Ovis aries: one gene and its partner. The protein of the gene in region 1 interacts with the protein of each later gene in a pairwise test. Links are inferred from orthologs where the notes say so. Each region holds a gene or a part of one and is shown on either strand. Other genes may lie near its edges.

Region 1 (2,980 bases):
GGCTCAGAGAAGGCCGAGAGGGTTACTCAGCTAAATTCACCCAGCAGCAAAGTTGGAATCCGAGGTCTTTCCCCAGGCGGGAGCCGGGAACTAGAGAGTTGGGGAGGGGGGCGGTGAAGAAACCTCTCAAGCAGCCCGAGCTGTGGGCCTGGTGGAGAGATTCCCACGTGTGGGGCCGGGAGGTAAGGTGACCCTTGCTCAGCGACCGCGCCCGCGACGAGCGTATCCCCAGGTTTCCCACTCGAGGTCTGCAGGTGACTGGCCGGGCTGGGGGTAGCTAGGGAGCGCTGAGGCCCGGTTTGCCGTCTCCATGGCGACCGCCCTCACGGCGCCAGCCTGACAGCCCGTCCGGGTTTTATGAATGGGTGACGTCACGGGCCTGGCGTCTAACGGTCTGAGCAGCTTGTTCAGACGCTGACACAGAGCAGCCCCGGGAGTGGGGGGTTGGGGGGGGGGGGGGGGGGGGGACGACGAGAGCTCCGCAGCTGCCGCGCCGTGGGAGGGAGACCCTGATCCCAGCGGTCTTTGGGGGAAAAAAGCCAAAAAGGGAGAAAAAAAAATTTAATTACTTAATGATGCAGATTTGGGGCTGCAAATTCAGGGGAGAAATCAGGGAAGACAGCCCACTCTGGGTGCCTTTTTCTTGCTCAGGTCCCAGGGGCCCAAGCCTCCAGTAGTGAAGGAAGTTTTTCCAGAATTAATTGCTCCCATCCTGAGGTGCCTGGGTAAGCCTGCCCGGTCCCAGGAATAGTCACCAGCAGCGTTCTCTGGGAATTGGGAAAGGAGAACGCCCCCCGCCTCCCGGGGGTGGACAGAGTGTAGAGGGCCAGTTTAAATATCAGCTCAAATATTGGGAAGATCAGAGTCTCAAAGGTAATCTTCCAATAGGGTCCAGAAGCCCAGGCTGCTTCTCCATCGGGACCTCAGTTTCGCTCATCTGTAAAATGGGGCTGGAGAAATGAGAACATATCCCTGAAAAAACTGATTCTTGGAATCTTTTCGTGATCAGTAATAACCGGTTTCGCCTTCTGGGCAGCCCTCGCCTCCACTAGCTATCTTATTCCCCCGCCTCCCACTCTCTCTGTTCCTGCGACTCAAGTTGCTTTTCCACGCGGGTGAGGGTGCTCTCTCTAGGGGAGCAGGAGGCAGGACCCAGAAGCCCTCCAGGCCACGCCTTTAAGCCTTCCATTGGCTGTTTTTGAACATCTGAGCCCGCCCCCTAAGGAAGGGGCGGGGAGGCGCGCGGCATCTTTATAAAAGTCGGGTTGGGGTGCTTGAGTTGCGCTTTTGCACTGCAGGCTTCTTTGCGTCCGCGACTTTTTCCCCACTACCGGCGTCCTCTTCCTCCTCCGTCCGCTTCGTTTTCTCCCGAAGCCGGCATCATGAAGGTCGCCAGTGGCAGCGCCGCGGCCGCCGCGGGCCCCAGCTGCGCGCTGAAGGCCGGCAAGACGGCGGGCGGCGCGGGCGAGGTGGTGCGCTGCCTGTCCGAGCAGAGCGTGGCCATCTCGCGCTGCGCGGGCGGCCCCGGGGCGCGCCTGCCGTCCCTGCTGGAGGAGCAGCCGGTCAACGTGCTACTCTACGACATGAACGGCTGCTACTCGCGCCTCAAGGAGCTGGTGCCCACCCTGCCCCAGAACCGCAAGGTGAGCAGGGTGGAGATCCTCCAGCACGTCATCGACTACATCTGGGATCTGGAGTTGGAGCTCAACTCGGAATCCCGCGTCGGGACCCCCGGGGGCCGGGGGCTCCCCGCCCGGGCTCCGCTCAGCACTCTCAATGGCGAAATCGGCGCCCTGGCAGCAGAGGTGAGGTCCGAGTTGGAGTAGGAGATCACTTTTCTTCTACGGAAGGGGACACTTGAGGCTCAGAGCGGGAGGGAGTGCTTGACCCTATATGCGCCCCATCCTTTCGGGCACCTAGGTGCTCAAGGATGCGATCGTTAAAAAAAACAACTCTTATCTTTTCACAGGCGGCGTGTGTTCCAGCGGACGATCGTATCTTGTGTCGCTGAAGCGTCGCCCTTGGGAGCCGGCAGACCCCAGCCCTCCAGGGGGCGAGAAGAATAAGTGCTCTCCGGTCCTTCCAGGCGCCTCGCCGGAGCTGGGGAGGAACAAGACCGATCGGCGGCCACCGGGGCGCTTGCAGGATCCAGCCCGGGTCTGGGGGACTGACAGGGCAGGCTGACTCTCACCCACCAGCCACCAGAGACTTGGGGGAGTCCCCCCTCGTGTGTTTCTATTTTTTGAAAAGCGGACATTTAAAAAATGGTCACGTTTGGTGCTTCTCAGATTTCTGAGGAAATTAATTGCTTTGTATTGTATATTACAATGATCACCGACTGAGAATATTGTTTTACAATAGTTCTGTGGGGTGTTGTTTTCTTTTTTGGTTGTTGTTATTAAACAAATACTTTAGATGGTGATAAAGCTGCAGTGACTTCTTGGATTGATGGGAGGGACCTGGGCTGGCGGTGACCCCTGACCCTTTTCACAGCTGCTGCTGGGGGAGGGGACGGGAAGGCCACATCTGGACGGTCGCTTTTACCGACCTGAAATGAGTGTTTCCGGTGTCTTTAAAATCTATTCCCCCCCCCCACCCCGCCCCATCCCTGGCCATTTCCCCCTCTCCCCAGTGTCATAAAATTAAATCCTTCAGACTTTTAAGGTTTCTCAAAGTGGTCCTGGGGCCATCTGGGTCACCTGGGGAGGTTGTCAAATGCAGATCAATCTGCCAAGGCCCCCTCTTGGGTTGAAGAGTATCAACAAGTCGGTTACTTGGGAGAACCAGGTCACTGGACCTGCATGTTGGCTTAAATGGGGATAGTGAGAACCTCAGCTTGTCGGGGACAAGACTTCCAACTTGCCCCATTCCCCAGAAGGAGACGCCTCCCCCCTGGGCCACCAAACCCTGGATCCCAGCAGGCTGCCCCAGGGCTTCAGCTTTGTCCAAGTGGGTGAGCAAGTTGGCAGGACCAGACCAG
Region 2 (3,715 bases), on another chromosome or scaffold:
CTTAGAGACGCAGTCAGGGTGGATCTTCCGCCTGCGCAGGTCCATCACAGGAGGAGGCGCTCAACAAACAGGCGCAGAAGCGGGAAAGAGAGAAAGCCAGGGGTGTTCCTGGTCACCTGGCCCTCCTGTGCCCACGCCCTTCAGATGAGCAGAGAGAAAACTCAGAGCGAGCTGTTTTTGGAGAAAAGGAACCTCCCAGGTTACCCCTCAATAACACAAAGCCTACATACTGGCAATCTGATGAGAAACAAAACAGATTAAAAAAAAAATCTAGAGCCACTTCATTATTAAAAGTGCCACTTGAAGTTTTTAGCAGCTGTTATTTGGCCTACTGGCTGAAAAAATTCCTGATACAACTAAAGTTCACGAAAAAGAGAACTACCTGAAAATAAAGTTGATCCTTCACGTCTCAGATTGGGAAGGCGGGTCCGCTTTTGGTGTCAACTGAAATGGGGAGCTCTATTTACCGATTTTCTTTTTAAAAGTGAGAGCAATTGTACGAAGTTGGATTTCCTTCGTTCCTTTTGTCTGTGACACCCTCTAAGTGTCCCTTGGTTTAGGTAAAGAGTGCAAGTAAGCGGATTGGGGAGCCATCACCTCCGCCCCAGCAGAAACGCAGTAAAACCATTAGCGTCAAAAGGGGCAGTAAACAGCAAACTGTCTCTAGAGAAAAGCCGGAGGTTTGCCCAGACAGCCCTGGCGGGGGTTGCGGTGGGATATGCTAATAGTGCGGGGCCACAGGGGCCGGCCTCCCTCCCCCAAGAATATATAAAGAGCCCCAGCCCCAGCGCTGCAGACCCGGGCCGCCAGGCGTCTGCCCTTGTTAATTACCAGAGACACGGACCAGGGAGCTCGGCCCGGGATTTCCCGGCCCTCAGCGGCGCCAGGCTCCGGTTTCTCCCCTATCTATCTCGCTGCTGTCCAGGCCCACCCCCTGCCTCTCTGCAGACGATGGACATGATGGACGGCTGCCAGTTCTCGCCCTCTGAGTACTTCTACGACGGCTCCTGCATCCCATCCCCCGAGGGCGAGTTCGGGGACGAGTTTGAGCCGCGAGTGGCTGCTTTCGGGGCTCACAAGGCAGACCTGCAAGGCTCAGACGAGGACGAGCACGTGCGAGCACCCACGGGCCACCACCAGGCCGGCCACTGCCTCATGTGGGCCTGCAAAGCATGCAAGAGGAAGTCCACCACCATGGATCGGCGGAAGGCGGCCACCATGCGCGAGCGGAGACGCCTGAAGAAGGTCAACCAGGCTTTCGACACGCTCAAGCGGTGCACCACGACCAACCCTAACCAGAGGCTGCCCAAGGTGGAGATCCTCAGGAATGCCATCCGCTACATTGAGAGCCTGCAGGAGCTGCTAAGGGAACAGGTGGAGAACTACTATAGCCTGCCAGGGCAGAACTGTTCTGAGCCCACCAGCCCCACCTCAAGTTGCTCTGATGGCATGGTAAGAGATGGCTCTGTACCTGCTAGGGCTTTCCCAACTTTTGCAAAAATCCTTACATCTCATTTAGACCACTGGTGGATAGTTGGGTATTGGGGGGTGGGGCGGGGCCCACCACATTTAGAAGAGAAGAGAGATGCCACATTTGGACCGATGCCAGCACACAGACAGCTGTTGAACAGAATTTTGTCTTGACTTCCTACCTACTCTAGGTGCACACTGAAGGAGCAGGTTGTCACTTGAGATAGCTGGCTGTGAGTGATCAGTCAGATGTTTCCTCCATTACTCAGTTTATTTCCAGTATATTGCCTTCTCCAATATACTACCAGTGGACCTTGACATACACTAACATCTAAAGGCAACTGTCTGAGGCCTCCACTGCCCCACGGTTTGTAACTGAAGGGAGAAACAGAAAGAAATGCCTGCATGGCCCCAGCCCCTACTCTGCTGATGCCTGGCTGAAAGTTGTTCATGCATTCTTTTCAGAGGGCGTTTGCTCCAGCGCTGCCAGGTTTTAATGTGTTTCTGCCTTGGGAAAGTGTTCTCTCTCTGAATTAGTGTGGCTTCCTTTTACTCCAATCCATTTTGCATGGTTAACCCAGTGTACACTGCTGCTGAATTCCACCCTCTTCTTTCTGCTGCCTCTCTCCTCTTCTCCAAGCGCAGAGATTGACCTCAGTGCCCTTGCGATTGGTGAGGCTAGCCCTTCCTAAATCAAGGCAATAAAGGTGATTGAGAGTGGTCAGTTTATGGAGCTGGTGGGCAAGCACTGCCTCACCTGAGATCAGAGCACCTTTTGCCAAGACCTGAAAACAAACGCCTTTTTCTGTGTCTTTTATTATAGCCTGAATGTAACAGCCCTATCTGGTCCAGAAAGAGCAGCAGTTTTGACAGCGTCTACTGTCCTGATGTACCAAATGGTAAGAACCAATGACTTCAGAGGAGTTTAAAGACCAGTCCAACTTCAGAATTTAGCCTATCAAAGTAGAGTCTGTTCTTCCATGCAGTACTGGGAAGAGAACAGAATGGTGTTTATGGGGGTTTTGGCAGGGCAAAATAAACGCATATCTTCTGCTCAAAATCCTCCTAACAGATACATCCATGCACATACACACAGACGTGAGCTTTTGCTTGAAATATTACCCAGGTGCTTCTCCACTCCCCAACTTCATCCCCATGAATTGCTAGATATTTGTTGCAAATTTCTACCAGGCTTTCTGTGACCACCTGACCTTTGGGTTTCGAAGGAGCTGACCTGCAGTTTAAGCGGCAGCATAAGCAAGGATTTTTTTTTTTTTTTAATGGTTTTCTCCTTGTGTCCTTAGTATATGCCACGGATAAAAGCTCCTTATCCAGCTTGGATTGCTTATCCAGCATAGTGGATCGGATCACCAACTCAGAGCAACCTGGATTGCCTCTCCAGGATCCAGCCTCTCTCTCCCCAGTTGCCAGCACCGATTCTCAGCCTGCAACTCCAGGGGCCTCTAGTTCCAGGCTCATTTATCATGTGCTATGAACTAAAAGCCTAGATCAGTTCTGTCAGAAGGCCTATTACACAGGAGGAAGGAGGCACCAAAAATCCAAAAGCAAGACAACCTGTATATAAACATTGCTGTTCTGTTGTAAATTTGTAAATATTATCTTGCCACTTTATAAGAAAGTGTATTTAAAAAGTCACTATTGCAATTAATACTTTCTTTTTTTCTTCTTTTCCTTCATCTTTGCTTTAGATATATAGTTCCAATGATATTATTTCTTATAGGGGCCGTTCATCAAAGGTAGTTTGTTGCAATGCTTAACTTATATATTTTTATAAATATTGCTTATCAAAATATTACCTCTGATGTTTAGTGCTTTATTTTTTTTCTTTAAAACATTAGAATAGATATAAATCAGTTATAGGGGAGTTTTAAATATATTTAACTGTTTTGCTTTTTCTCTTTAATCCTTTGATTTATATTGTGTTAAATAAAATATAACAATACTGCCTAATGGTATATATTTTAACATTTGCTTATAAGAAATACATTTTTAATCTAGGCACAAAATAGTACTTTGTGGATGATTTCAAGATATAAGAGATTTTTGGAAACTCCACCATAAATAAAATTGTTTAAGTGAAGAAATATTTGGGTTTATGACTTTGTTAAAAGAACCCCCTAGTGGAATTGGCAGTCATTGATATGATGCCTAAAGGTGGGGCTGAAACAGTCGGTTTTGTAGATAAATCTGAATAGCATCGCACGGACTCAGTTTTAGGTCCTGT

The links. The genes of interacting proteins can lie anywhere in the genome.
Region 2: the proteins of ID1 (region 1) and MYF5 interact in binary tests that used the Homo sapiens proteins (3 or more experiments, as listed by UniProt). The link is inferred for Ovis aries from reciprocal best matches to the Homo sapiens genes ID1 and MYF5.

What each region holds. Positions count from the first base shown.
Region 1 is NC_056066.1:60,849,195-60,852,174, forward strand, and holds ID1 (DNA-binding protein inhibitor ID-1), read left to right. Parts: upstream 1-1,281; 5' UTR 1,282-1,382; coding exon 1,383-1,805; intron 1,806-1,969; coding exon 1,970-2,011; 3' UTR 2,012-2,426; downstream 2,427-2,980. UniProt on the Homo sapiens protein: Transcriptional regulator (lacking a basic DNA binding domain) which negatively regulates the basic helix-loop-helix (bHLH) transcription factors by forming heterodimers and inhibiting their DNA binding and transcriptional activity.
Region 2 is NC_056056.1:116,772,776-116,776,490, forward strand, and holds the start of MYF5 (myogenic factor 5), read left to right. Parts: upstream 1-794; 5' UTR 795-951; coding exon 952-1,452; intron 1,453-2,293; coding exon 2,294-2,369; intron 2,370-2,774; coding exon 2,775-2,965; 3' UTR 2,966-3,715.